Linked DNA regions of Diceros bicornis minor. The protein of the gene in region 1 purifies or fractionates together with the protein of each later gene. This does not show direct contact. Links are inferred from orthologs where the notes say so. Each region holds a gene or a part of one and is shown in the gene's direction. Other genes may lie near its edges.

What was found.
Region 2: the proteins of UBR5 (region 1) and SOX2 purify together in Homo sapiens (affinity purification with western blotting; 3 studies listed by BioGRID and IntAct, with this or other methods). This does not show direct contact. The link is inferred for Diceros bicornis minor from reciprocal best matches to the Homo sapiens genes UBR5 and SOX2.

The regions. Positions count from the first base shown.
Region 1 is NC_080760.1:20,706,731-20,714,185, reverse strand, and holds the start of UBR5 (E3 ubiquitin-protein ligase UBR5), read left to right. Parts: upstream 1-4,222; 5' UTR 4,223-4,252; coding exon 4,253-4,314; intron 4,315-7,455. UniProt on the Homo sapiens protein: E3 ubiquitin-protein ligase involved in different protein quality control pathways in the cytoplasm and nucleus. Mainly acts as a ubiquitin chain elongator that extends pre-ubiquitinated substrates.
Region 2 is NC_080754.1:41,644,228-41,651,573, reverse strand, and holds SOX2 (transcription factor SOX-2), read left to right. Parts: upstream 1-5,152; 5' UTR 5,153-5,423; coding exon 5,424-6,386; 3' UTR 6,387-6,652; downstream 6,653-7,346. UniProt on the Homo sapiens protein: Transcription factor that forms a trimeric complex with OCT4 on DNA and controls the expression of a number of genes involved in embryonic development such as YES1, FGF4, UTF1 and ZFP206. Binds to the proximal enhancer region of NANOG.

The DNA.
Region 1 (7,455 bases):
TGTCTCCATAGTTTTGCCTTTTCCAGAACGTCATATAGCTGGAATCATAGAGTATGTAGACTTTCAGATTGGCTTCTTTCACTTAGTAATATGCATTTAAGATTCCTCCACATTTTTTCATGGTTTGATAGCTCATTTCTTTTAGTGCTGAATGATATTCCATTGTGTGGATGAACCACAGTTTATTTATGCATTCACCTACTGAAGGACATCTTGGTTGCATCCAAGTTTTGGCAATTATGAATAAAGCTGCTATAAACATCTCTGTGCAGGTCATAAGTTTTCAAGTCCTTTGGGTAAATACCAAGAAGCATGATTGCTGGATCATATGTTAAGAGTATGTTTTGTTTTGTAAGAAACCACCAAACTTCTTCTCAAGTGGCTGCACCATTTTGCATTCCCACCAACAATGGATGAGACTTCTTGTCGCTCTACATCCTTGCGAGCATTTGGTGTTGTTAGTGTCTTGGATTTTTAAGCCCCATTGTTTTAGTCAACCAACATTCATATACCTACGTATTTTCCCTTTTCATTCGGCTTCTTCCTTTTATGCCTTTCTGAACTTACACTGGGGAATTATTTTCCTTTTGCCTGAAAAATACCCTTTAGTATGGGGTGCCTGCTAAGAATGTCTCACATTTCTTTTTCTTTTTGTGAATGTCTTTATTTTTCTTTCATTCTTGAGGCTATTCTTTAGCTGTAGAAATGTGCTTTGCCCACAAGTGAGGAAAGCTTGATGTGTCAGGGAGTTAACAACCCAAGGGATGGGTTGATGGATAAATACCTCCAGCTTGCTTGCTCCCCGCTCAGTGGCAATAACTCTGAGGTGTGTCCCACACAGTCTCTCAGATGGTCCCCAGTGGGATTGAATTCCAGTTGCCCACAGTGGTAAAACATTCTTCAGCCCATCTTTTATTGGGTTTTCTCCCTTCCCTGTCTCATTTCTCCATCCCCACACAGTGCTTCCTGCAATCACTTCCTAAATAAACTATTTATAGCCAAATCCTTGTTTCCAGGTCTGTTTTGGGGGAAACCAAATCTAAAGACATGACCTTTTTCAGGGGTGCAGTCCTTCAGGGCTCAGCACAAAGTAAGAGAGGTCATTAGCACTCCCCACTGCATTGGGGGAGCTTGGACATCAATCCCTGTTGTCTTAGCCCTCAGTGCTTGTCAGAAGAACTGCTTAGCCTCTTGGCTTCTCCCTCTTTCTGGAATTGGCGCTTATCCCAGCGGAAAAAGTGGCTCCAAACACAAACCAGGACTCACTTCTTTGGGTCTTATTCATCCTTTGGATCCTGGTTTGGTAATTCATCATTTTGTTAACATTCTTCTGCTTTTAAGCAGACTTAAAGAAATATTTTGTCTAACATTTCTAGCTGTTCTCAAAGGGAGAATTAGTCCAAATTATTAGAAAAGAGGCCCCTCAGCCATCTTTTCTAGGCGAGTATTCCACTTTGACTCTTCAAACAGCTTCTGCTTGAACCCTGCTTATCACCATTCCCTACTTGTATTCCCCCCTCCTCCATCCATGTGATGGGCTTGCACAACTCCATGCCTTTATTCTTGTTTTTCCTTGTTCAAAGTGTGACCCACCAAAGTTTTGGGGCCCTGGGAGAGGAAAATTCTCCCTAACACGCCAGCCTGGGACAACAAAAAGGTTGCAATGCCAAGATGGTTGTCAGTCAAAAACCAACTGGGCAGTTTGAATGGGCTGCCTGGAGGCAGGGGACCAGCCTTCAACCAGGAGGGAAAGTCTCTGTTCCAGGAAACTAGGAGTGGGTAAATCAAGTTGGAAGCAGGGTGGAAGCATAATGAAAAGATGAAGAAAGACAGATTTGGAAGAAAGAGTAATGAAGCAAGTATGGGTATGGTGTGGAGTTTGTTTAGGGGCAAATCTAAAAATGACTAGGTTTAAGCCAGATACTCTATTTGCCCAGGACATTCTTGAAAGCTCAGCTTAAATGACTTTTCTTAATTCTCTTGGCTGCAATCGCTTCCTCCTTTAACTTCCATGGCACTCTTATTGCATTTATCATATCACATTTTTCCTATTGGCTTTGAACAGTCTGTTCCTTCTAAATTATTAACTAGATGGCAGCTGTGCTATAGTGGAAAGAGCAATGGAATCAGAGTTAGATGACCTGGGTTTAAGTCTCAGCTTCAGCACTTACCTAAGGTGTCGAGCCTCAGTATCCTCATCCTCATAATGGGGATGATATTATTTACCCCATAGTGTGATTTGAGCATTAAAAGACATGTGTATAAAGTGTTACATAGTGAGCACTTGACAAATAAAAACTTCCATTTTCTGAGCCTACTAAGTGTTATGAAGTGCTCCAGGTGCTTGGCATACATTATCTTATGTAGACTTCACCACAACCCTATGTAGATCTACTACTATGAAATATCTTACAATTGAGAAAAGACACTACGATAGGTTAAATAATTTAATCAAGGTCACAAAGCAAAGCAGCAGGAACAGGACACAAACCCAGGTCTGTATGGCTCTAAAACTAGCAGTGTCCATTGATCTACCCTGCTTCCCCATGGCTGGCGTGGACTTCTAATAAATAGCGGCCTTGAAATCACTTTTTAGTCTAAACTAATCTGGGCCAATTTTGGAGCTGGTGACCTACAAAAGTGTTCCGTTATCTGTCTCAAGGGGTACCTACTCTATCCTGATTTATAAATAAATTTTCATATATTTTGCTCAAAGGAACGTCCTAAGCAAAAGTTTGTGTGTATATAATGCATTAACAGAAGAAAAGTGGTACTTAACGTTAAGACCGTTTCACAGGACCCCCGATTTAACGAACATCCACACAGGCTGGAGAAGAAGCTTCATGTTTTCACTTTTTGTCTTGAAAGAAGTACTTGATTTTTTGAAGGAGTCATAGAAGCCTTTGAGAAAAAAGCTAGGAGCTGGTTCCCTAGAAAAAAGCAGATAGATCCATTCAAGAATTTGCCTTTACGATCCCACTGATCCTAAGTTGAAGAACGCCTTTGTAAAAGTGATATATCATCTTTCTTTTAAAAGTAGTAAAAACAAAAAATCATGAATCATTTACATCAGGAAATCGGTGGAAATTTCCACATTTTGTCTTTGTGCCGGTATGTGATGGTGGTGGTGGAGAAATCGGGGAGACTAGGGTGATCAAGAAGTTGCTGCAAAGTCAGCTTTATGATCCTACGATAGGACTTTCTGGAAAGGTCCTTATATAACTACCTTACTTCTCCAATAAAAGGCTGTGTATTTCTTGCCCTTTCACCGATTTTACACTGCCACTTTAAATATAATTGCGGATCAAGGACGAGAAACAACAACAAAAAACCCCTAAGGGTCTGCAAAATAATTAGGGCTGCCTCAGGGAAATCAGAGAGAGGACGGACGCGGGAGCCCCTTTTGCTTCCCACTTCCCCGGGGACACACTCTCAGCCTCCTCCCGGACTCCCTCCCCGCCGGCGGGCTCGCCCCTGCGCCTCCTCCTTCCCTAACACGTGCTCTCCGGAACACTCACTCGGGAGACATCCCACCTCCCGGGGGCCGGGCTCGGGGGCCGAGCGGACCAATCCGCGCGCGTCTTACAGCGTCGTGGCCCGACAACGTTGAGCCGCCCAATCGGAAGGGCCTTACCGCCCGTTTCCCGGAGCCCCGCCCCCTCGCAGCCGAGCCCCCGCCCGCCGGTCTCCTCCCTCCTCCTCCTCCTCCTCCTCCTCCTCCTCCCGTTCGCCCCTCCCCCGCCGCTCGGGAGCGGAGCCTGCGAGACGGAGAAACTGGGGCAGAAGTGAAGATGGCGGCGGCGGTGCTGGCGGCGGCGGCGGCGGCTTCTCGCCAGTGACGCGCGGTGCGGGCTCATCTCTCCCCACCTCCCTAGTCCGGACCCCGTCCGCCGCCGGGACCACACCGTCCCCGCAGCCCGCCCCTCTCCGCCCTCCCAGTCGCCCCCTCTCCCGACGCCCGGCTGCCGCTGGCGGCGGCGCGCCCCGTGTCCCGGCCGCCGGCCTTGCACTCCTGCGCGCTGTCGCCGGGGGAGCGGGTGGCGTGTTGATCCGCCCGCCCCGCCGGACCGCGGGGCCGCGGACACACGCCCGGCAGGGAGGTGGCGGCGGCCCCTGCGCATTTGCTTCCCTCCATTTGGGGACTGGGAGGCGGCGGCGGCGGCTGTGGGTTTTGGGAGGGGAAGGGGGTTTGGGGGGGGCGGGCGAGAGCGGGAGGGGGCCGTCCTCGAGGAGAGGACGAGAAGGAAGCACCATGACGTCCATCCATTTCGTGGTTCACCCGCTGCCGGGCACCGAGGACCAGCTCAATGACAGGTAATGGGGCCGGCGGGCGGGCGGGCGGGGGGAGGGGCGCCTCCCCGCCCTCCCCTCCCCCACGGGGCCGCGCCGGGGCAGGCGCCCGTGTTTACGCGCCGGCCGGCCGGCCGGGGGGTCCACATTGCCCCTGGCTAGGCCCCTTCCGGGGCAAACTTCTGGTCCTGGGGGCCCGGGGCCGCGGGGGGAGCGCGGTGTAGACGGGAAAGCGCGCTGCAACCTCCCCCCCCCCCCGTCCCCCTCCGAGGAGCCGCGTTGAACTCCGCGGAGATGGGGGGGGATCCGGCTCCCGGGGGGGCGGGCTGTAATTACCGCCCGGCCCAGGCCCGAGGAATCCATATTAGTCAAAGTTGAATTGAGACAGACAATGCGGATGGGGGATGGTGGAGGTAAAAAGAGAGGGAAGAGGAGAAGCGGGGCGAGGGGCCCTGGGGTAGGCTCGGCTCGCCCGGGCCCCCGGGAGCTGTGTCCGGTCGGGTGGTCTGGACCAGCCAAGCCTGGAGATCCCGGGGGAGGGGGGAGGCTGATTCCCGGCAGATCGCGGTGGGGGTGGGGGGAGGGAGGAAGCGCCATGATTATTGTTATTATTATTAAATTTGAGCCCCTGCAGTGAGGTTTGCCAGCCTGGGGAGGGGTTGAATTCAGGCGGGGGTGGGTAAGTGGATTGGATTCCCTTTGCTCTCCTTCTTCCGAAACGGTGCTGGCAGCTCCTGCTCCCAGCCCCTGTGGTGCGAGCTTTTTTGTTTCCTTTTTTATTCTAATGATAGTGTTTTCCTGAGTTGTAATTTGACAGCTGAAAACCGTGCGTGGAGTCAAAGGAAAACTCTTACGTTTGCAGTTCGCAGTGCTGCCTTTCTTAACGCGCTGTAAATTTCTGCGATGGGTTTTGCTATGGGCGGAGGAGGAATTAAGATTTTTTTTTTTGTCTTTCATAAGAGGGCTGTTTTGGCCGTGGATTTCTCCCCTTCCCTCCTCCACCGTTCCCTGCCGGTTTAGGATATTGAATTGGCAGGGCCGCATGCTCACAGGGAACGGAGATAAAGCAGGAAAAGTTCCTTCACTGTGGCAAAACAGAGACTCCGAGGAGGTTGAGGGAGGCCTCCATTAAAGCAAGTCTTAGAATCTAGGACTCAGATCTAATGATGGGCTAAATGTTTATAGGGTTAGAAAGGGGGGCATTTTAAGCCCACGTCTCTCCCAATACTTCGCTGCTCTCTATTTCTTTTGAGTATAGAAGGCCACCTGGACCCAAGTTCAGAAGTTAGCTATTTTTGCTAAGTGACCGGGTGACATAAATTGCATGACGCCCTGTTTGTCATGCGCTTCCCGGAGGGAGAAAGAGGCCTAACTTGCTGCTAAGATATTGGCCTCTGTCCCCAAGAATCTAACCGCCTCAGGTAGGGCGGACAGCTTTTCAATCTGAAAGCTGGAGGCTTGGTTTCTGGCACTGGGTTCGGATTTGTCTAATCTTTGCTGTAGCCATATTGTATTTAACATGTTTGCGAAACTTTTGGAATAGTTTCTGAAAATATTAAGTATTTGGAGTTGTTACATAGTTCCTTTAAATACTGAAATAAGTTTTTAAGTCATTTATTTTAACATTTTGTTATGTGATCCTTACTCTGATTTTATTTCGTTAGAGATCTTTTTAAAGACTGTTTTGTAAATTTTAGAACCAGGCTAGTAGTGAGGACAGCTCTCCTGTCATTGGTAGAACCAAGTTGGTAGTGCTTGTAATGTAACTTGTAACTGAGAAAATTGCACAGGGAGGAGAGAAGTAGGGCATGTTTTCTATATTAGTCCTAACTTTATACACCAAGAATCCTGACTATGCAATGCCAAAACCTATTTTGCAGTTGTGTTGGGCACTTTGATTCATTTTTGAGCCTGCCTTTTGCTTTAGCTAGTCTGAGAAATTTACAAGTAATGTATCTTTTTTTAAGCTACCTTTTCTTTTTTGCACTCCTAGTGTAAACAAGTAATCAGCTTTGTTTCTGATTTCTGTAGTGTCAGTATACAATATTAAGAATATTTAGATCATCTTGAGTTTTCATTTCATGAAGTAAAGAAAAGACAAGTTGATTTGATTCAGATCATAAAATGTGCACCTCAAAGTGGCAAATATTTGAAAAAATAGGAGAAGGCTCTAGGTAAAATTCTAGAGATCTATTATTGTATCTAGTAAAAATGGCTGGTCTGTTGACATTTATGAAGGCAGCATCTGAGACTGCCATACACCCTAAGTTTTGAAGTAGTTGACTTGTTAGTGGAGCTGTTCTGTGTCTCTCCTCCAAAAGGAAAGATCATCTTTCCATACCTACTTGCAAAGTAATAGGATCAACTTATGTTGCATTGCTTGAGAAAAATCAGTTTCCAAAAGAGATTGATTTTCTGGAAACTTTTAACTAACTAGAACAAGAAGCCCAGAATATTTTTGCCTTCAGATAAAACCTTTACCAAGGTTTAGTAAGTTTTGGTAATAGAAAAGAGTTCTCTACTATAGCTTGATTTTTGTGTGATCTATGATTGTCACAAATGAAATGATAAATGATAGTTTTGGATGAAAAAGACTAAGTAGGTAGACTTTATTCTATACATGAAAAGCAGTGAGATTGGACAGGCAGTATGGTACTGCAAATAAATTGCTCAGTTAAAACTTAGGGCCTCAAAACATCAGTATTTTCTTCTGCAAATGTTTTCTTTCTTTAAATAGCCACATCCTGTTAAAAGTCAAATATTTTGTTCAGTGAAATATTGTGATGTCTCAAACATCCAAAATGTACTCAGCATTAAAAAAAAGTATCTGATATTTTTCTCTTACTTTGTGTTTTCATACTGGCTAATACTTGATAGTCTTTGTATATTGGGTTAAAATCTTCAGTTATTGGCCTTGGGAGACCAAATAATGAATAGAGTTGATGATTATAGGTGGGGATGGCTAGGGCAGAGGAGGGGAATTCACAGAGCCTAGGATGTTGGTTATGGCTTCCTGAAGTGATTACAAGGTCCCTGGTGCAGAGTGACTGGCCCTCAGCAAATATTCATTGTGTTGAATTCAAACCATTCAGTGCTCAGATACTTTTGTGACATTTTGATTTTCTTTCTGGTGAATTTCTTGAGTTAATGCTGTGTTCCTGCTTA
Region 2 (7,346 bases), on another chromosome or scaffold:
AATCCTTCACGCTTCCAAAATCTGACAAGTTTGTCAATAGGAAGAAAATGGAGGAAATGTAAATGAAAGAGTTTCTATCATTTTGAAAATCACATTATAAAAATTGAAGTAGCCTCTCTAGGATTTCTTGTGAGGGATCCTTCACAGTCTAAAGGAAATGAAGTTTGTGAATAGTACAATTCTATTCTAATTTTTGCTGTGACTTTCAGTGTCCTAACTTTTTCCAGTTTATTTCTTACGGATTATTTTTGGAAAATATGTGATGCTTTTTTAAGGAAAAGAAATCCTCTAATACCTTTCTTTACTTTCGCTTGTCTGTGTTTGTTTCATAAATCTTGGAGGATCAAGCTGTGATCATTCTGGAAGTCCTGTGGCAAGCTCCAATTTGGAATGATTGTGGATTTTTTGCGATTTAGAAGGGAGAAGGAAATACTTTTAAAATTGGCTTATGCCAGTCTCCTTACTTTGTAATTTTCAGTTTTCTTGTGTTAGGGGATAAAGATCAATAAAATTTCATCTCACCAGATTGCAACAACATTGTCCTAAACATTGGAATTTTCCTTTATTTTTGGCTTTTAAAATCAGGAACTTTTCTTGGGTTGCCGTACTTCTCTTTTTAGCTTTATTCGCCTCTTGCCACATTGCTGAATGACCTCGTTCACTGCAGTCTGATCCCTGCTCTGGTCACTCTCAGTGGAGATGGCTGGAAGGTTAGGATCCGGAGGAAACATGACAAAAAAGGGAGGAAAAAACCCTTCATTTGGCCAAATCTGCCTCCTAATATATTTAACCAGTTCCAGAATTAGAAAGCCTCTCTGTACATTTTCTTCTATTTTTCTCTCTTTTTTTTTCCCTTACGTAATGAAATTAAAACTTTTGGAGCCCACAGTTGACATTTTTCAGAAAATTGAGTTATCAAGGCAGTAATTATTTCACGGGGAGATAAAACTCTCATAGCCCTAACTGTCAAATAGGGCCCTTTTCAGATTTTAATTACAAAATAAAATTAGTCTGCTCTTCCTCGGAATGGTTTGTGAGTGGTTAAACAGAGCTTTCCCCCCAATACTGGTGGTCGTCAAACTCTGCTAATTAGCAATGCTGAGAAATTCCAGTTAACAAGGACATTCTCCAAGACTCTGCAGGTTCCCTGCCGTTTGCCTTCATTTCCATAAGAAGATTAAGAGAGGAGGGGAACACACTCAAATGCAGATGCAGAAAAGAAGCGTTTTTTAACAAGCATCATAATAGTAAGATGCTTGGCTAGTTCTCACCTAATTACTGCAAGTTAAACCTCTATTTGCCACTAAGAAGAAAAAATAAGTCTACAGTCCCCTATCTCCACAAAATTGTTAGTTGGCTTCAGATATAGTACTTGAGGAGGGATGAGGGGAGTTGAGGAGAGAAATATCAATGCAAGAGATTTGTAAATAAAATTGAGTTCCACTTAATCAGTTAAGGATTTGGGGCTGGGGCCTATAGTAGAACAAAATCAAATCAGAATATCCCAGGGGTTATGCATTTTTGTTCATAATTTCTAATCTTGCTCTAAAAGTGTGCAGCTTTTTGCTGTGTATGGAAGGGAAATGTTACCCTCTCTTTAGATTAAGCACTTTCAATTTTCATAAATGGTGCCAATGGCAACATTTTAAATTCTCAGAGGATGAAGCACCCTCTTCCGAGTCTTATTTTGATTCCCTGGGAGTCAATGGCATATTGTTATTAGTCCTGTAGCCGTCTGTTATAAACCTAAAACAGTGCTGCTTCTGTCATCTATTATGATTGTTGTAGTTATTATTATATTTAGGGGCCAGTGATGGTGCTGGATTGAAATAGAGTGGCCGGTGATCTGATTTTTTTAATGCATATGTTCTAAAAAGTCTAATGAGAAAATTGTTTCTGCTATCACCATCTTCTTTAATCTTATTTTCATAGCACATTATTATGCATAAACGCCAGCCACAGTTAGTTTATTGCCTTGATAAGTACAGCAGGCTTAATTAAAATAAAGCTGTAAATAAATGCAACCAATGATAACACAATTGCAATGTATTTCCATAGCTTATTTATATGATAAAAGCAATTAACAAAAAGACCTAGCCAGCCCCTTTAACCTCTTAAATGCATTATTATAGAGTTCAGGCACAAACACATGCATCTGAGAATGTATAAAAGCTTTTATACATCATCCCAAGGAAAAATTTGTGCCTCTTACTACTTACTACCCCTTGAGAGACAGAGAGATTAAAAATATTTGCTTCTATAACCATCCGTTATTAATACTTATTTCAATTCATATACACCACCATTATCCACACCAACTCCCTGATTTTTTTCTTCAAACTTAATTATCCATAAGCTTTTTTTTTAGTTTTCAGAATAATGCAGTTAGGCGCAGACCAATGTATACGCAATCATAAAGTGAATGCTTGGTCTGCCCTTCGTGGCGTCTGGACAATCATAATTCATTCATATGTTGAATCTCATAATTTGTGCCTATTTTTTTCCCATGGTTTAACCTCCCACTTATCTAGAGGTTATATGTACATTTCTAAGTTAAGCAAATTAAATCTAATTCTTACGATTGATTCCATAGCTTATATGATATGTTAACTTTTCTTTTGTTTAGATTACGTGTAATTAGTTTGATCTTCCTCCCATCCCCCTCATTTTTTTTTCTGTAATTATTTCCAAACACCTTCTTTTAAAGGTAAAAGCAATAGTCTTGGAAAAGCGAATCCACCAGTAGGGGGCGCACCAGCCACATCTCTGAAACCATACGCGCTGAAAAGCCGGTGGCCGCCTTCTCTTCTCCAGATCCTCTCAACCTTTTCTCTTTCCTAATCTCCAGGTCCGTGTTTAGCTTAATATTACACCTCGCATAAACAGAAGACATTGCTTTCTTTTGAAGAGTGCCATATATTGATGCTTTTCGAGAAAGCCAGTCTCATACTTCCCGCGTTCCTAAGAACTAAAACAAACCATAACTTAATAGAAAAAAGAGAACCTGCAGGGGGAGGGAAGGTTGATTGGTAATAATTTATTACGACAAGTCTGTAGAATTCCTTTTACAACTTTTCTGGGTTTCCAGGGAGCACAGTTATCTTGAGTTGGACAAGAACAGAAAAGCCTGAGAGGGCAGGGATTGGAGAAGTTGGACTGGGGGCCGGGGTAGGGGAGAGGGCAGTTATGGGAAGAAGGTTAGTAAGGAACAAAACAATGCACAGTTTTGTAAAGATAATAAATGGAACGTGGCCGACAGATACTATTCAGTACATTTTCTTAGGGTGAGTAAGGGTAGATCAGGGGAGGAGGGGGCGGAGAGAGTGTTACAGAAGAAAGAAAATAAGTAACCCTGATGGTTTAAGCCCTTTATAAAAAAGAAATGGCATCAAGGGTTTTTTCTCCACAACCCCCCCCCTCCCCTTTGTAGTCAAGTGCATTTTAGCCACAAAGATCCCAACAAGAGAGTGGAAGGAAACTTAGACGGGTCTTTGTTTGACTCCGTGTAGCGACAACAAGAGAAACAAAACTACCTATTTGTAACGGACGTGCTGCCATTGCTCTCCGCATTGAGCGCCTACCTATTGAAATCTTTACGTTGGGACAATGGGAGAGCGGCTAAAATTACCCTCTTGGGTCCTGGGCGGGCAGGATTCCTGAGCCCTTACCCCCGCCCCCATCCCATCCTCCTCCAGCCCTAGCCTTGCTGGGCTCCCCCGTCCCCAGTCCCGGCCGCCCTCCTCTTGCCTGCACTGCCTGCACCTGTGCCTGGCGAGCACCACCCCTGCCCCCAAGGCCTAGGGCCCCCTCGGAGCGCAGCCCCAACCCGAGCGGCCCCGGCCAGGCGGCCACCACGGGAGAAGTCACTGGAGGAAATGCCAGGGCTGGTTCTGCTGGAGTCCTGGGAACTCTGCGTGGGAGGGAGTTTGTGAGTGCGGCCCAAGCCACCTCCACACAGTGCGGTGGGATGCCAGGAAGTTGAGATTCCCCTCCCCCATAGCCCGCACTTCTGAGCGCCCTTCTGTGGATCTTTCTTCGCCCAGCCCCCTTTTGCAACCCGCACAAGTGAAATCCCTCCTTGAGGGAGGCTCAGGAGGAGAATGGGGAGAGGACGAGAACACGAGCATCCCCTTTGCACCGACTGAATGGAGAAAGACTGGTGGGCGATGTGGCTGGGGGTAAGGGGACAGGCTGCGGGTCCCCGCGCCAGAGAGCCGGGCCGGGCGGCAGCTCACCCAGGCCCGGCCTGGCCTCGGCTCTCGAGTCGGCCGCAGAGGCCGAGCAGGATTTATTTTAACAGCAGAGCAAACTACGTGGAAGCAGGGAGCGTTCTGAGGACAGAGCTTTCCGTGTCCTAACTTCTCGTCGGGGCAGAGTGAGAAGGGGCCGAGCGAGGGCCGGGCCCCGCGGAGGAAGAGGGGCGAGGGCCAGAGCGGGGTGAGGGAGAAGCAGCCGAGGGCCGGCGTGGGGGCAGCGTGCGGAGGAGCGGGAGAACAATGACACACCAACTCCAGCGCGGCCCGTTTCCTGAAATACTAGTAGGACAGTCGCCCAGAACCACCCACTCGGCCCTGCCCTGCCCCCACCCCGTAGCTGCTTCTCGCGCCCCTTCCTCATTTCAGCAGCCCGCACCAGAAAGTAAATCCACATTAAGTTTAAGGAAGAAAAAAATCGTAGTCTTAGTGCTGTTTACCCACTTCCTTCGAAAAGGCGTGTGGTGTGACCTGTTGCTGCGAGAGGGGATACAAAGGTTTCTCAGTGGCTGGCAGGCTGGCTGTGGGAGCCGCCTCCCCCTCCCCTCCCCTCCCCTCCTCCCCGCCTCCCCCTCCCCGCGTCCCCCGCCTCCCCCGCGCGCCCGGCGGCGCGGCAGGCCCCGCCCCCTTTCATGCAAAACCCGGCGGCGAGGCCGGGCTCGAGTGGAGGAGCCGCCGCGCGCTGATTGGTCGCCGGAAACCCATTTATTCCCTGACAGCCCCCGTCACATGGATGGTTGTCTATTAACTTGTTCAAAAAAGTATCAGGAGTTGTCAAGGCAGAGAAGAGAGTGTTTGCAAAAGGGGGAAAGTAGTTTGCTGCCTCTTTAAGACTAGGACTGAGAGAAAGAAGAGGAGAGAGAAAGAAAGGGAGAGAAGTTTGAGCCCCAGGCTTAAGCCTTTCCAAAAAATAATAATAACAATCATCGGCGGCGGCGGGATCGGCCAGAAGAGGAGGAAGCGCTTTTTTTGATCCTGATTCCAGTTTGCCTCTCTCTCTCTTTTCTTCCCCCAAACTATTCTTCGTCTGATTTTCCTCGCGGAGCCCTGCGCTCCCGACACCCCCGCCCGCCTCCCCTCCTCCGCTCCCCCCGCCCGCGGGCCCCCCAAAGTCCCGGCCGGGCCGAGGGTCGGCGGCCGCCGGCGGGCCGGGCCGCGCACAGCGCCCGCATGTACAACATGATGGAGACGGAGCTCAAGCCGCCGGGCCCGCAGCAAACTTCGGGGGGCGGCGGCGGCGGCGGCGGCAACTCCACCGCGGCGGCGGCGGGCGGCAACCAGAAGAACAGCCCGGACCGCGTCAAGCGGCCCATGAACGCCTTCATGGTGTGGTCCCGCGGGCAGCGGCGCAAGATGGCCCAAGAGAACCCCAAGATGCACAACTCGGAGATCAGCAAGCGCCTGGGCGCCGAGTGGAAACTTTTGTCGGAGACGGAGAAGCGGCCGTTCATCGACGAGGCCAAGCGGCTGCGAGCGCTGCACATGAAGGAGCACCCGGATTATAAATACCGGCCCCGGCGGAAAACCAAGACGCTCATGAAGAAGGATAAGTACACGCTGCCTGGCGGGCTGCTGGCCCCCGGCGGCAACAGCATGGCGAGCGGGGTCGGGGTGGGCGCCGGCCTCGGCGCGGGCGTGAACCAGCGCATGGACAGCTACGCGCACATGAACGGCTGGAGCAACGGCAGCTACAGCATGATGCAGGACCAGCTGGGCTACCCGCAGCACCCGGGCCTCAACGCGCACGGCGCCGCGCAGATGCAGCCCATGCACCGCTACGACGTGAGCGCCCTGCAGTACAACTCCATGACCAGCTCGCAGACCTACATGAACGGCTCGCCCACTTACAGCATGTCCTACTCGCAGCAGGGCACCCCGGGCATGGCGCTCGGCTCCATGGGCTCGGTGGTCAAGTCCGAGGCCAGCTCCAGCCCCCCCGTGGTTACCTCTTCCTCCCACTCCAGGGCGCCCTGCCAGGCCGGGGACCTCCGGGACATGATCAGCATGTACCTCCCCGGCGCCGAGGTGCCGGAGCCCGCCGCCCCCAGCAGACTTCACATGTCCCAGCACTACCAGAGCGGCCCGGTGCCCGGCACGGCCATTAACGGCACACTGCCCCTCTCGCACATGTGAGGGCCGGACAGTGAACTGGAGGTGGGGGAGAAATTTTCAAAGAAAAACGAGGGAAATAGGAGGAGAGTAAGAAACAGCATGGAGAAAAACCCGGTACGCTAAAAAAAAAAAAAAAAAAAGTCATCACCCACAGCAAATGACAGCTGCAACAGAGAACACCAATCCCATCCACGCTCACGCAAAAACCGCGATGCCGACAAGAAAACTTTTATGAGAGATCCTGGACTTCTTTTTGGGGGACTATTTTTGTACAGAGAAAACCGGGGGGGTGGGGTGGGGAGGGCGAGGGAATGGACCTTGTATAGATCTGGAGGAAAGAAAGCTACGCAAAACTTTTTAAAAGTTCTAGTGATACGGTAGGAGCTTTGCAGAAAGTTTGCAAAAGTCTTTACCAATAATATTTAGAGCTAGTCTCCAAGCGACGAAAAAAATGTTTTAATATTTGCAAGCAACTTTTGTACAGTATTTATCGAGATAAACATGGCAATCAAAATGTCCATTGTTTATAAGCTGAGAATTTGCCAATATTTTTCAAGGAGAGGCTTCTTGCTGAATTTTGATTCTGCAGCTGAAATTTAGGACAGTTGCAAACGTGGAAAGAAGAAAATTATTCAGATTTGGACATTTTAATTGATTAAAAATTGTACAAAAGGAAAAAATTAGAATAAGCACTGGCAAAACCATCTCCGTGGTCTTCTTTAAAGGGGCAAAAGTTTTAGATTGTACTAAATTTTTTTTAACTTACTGTTAAAAGCAAAAATGGCCTGCAGGTTGACACAATTGGTAATTTATAATAGCTTTTGTTTCCCAACTTTCCATTTTGTTCAGATAAAAAAACAACATGAAATTACTGTGTTTGAAATATTTTCTTATGGTTTGTAATATTTCTGTAAATTTATTGTGATATTTTAAGGTTTTCCCCCTTTTATTTTCCGTAGTTGTATTTTAAAGATTCGGCTC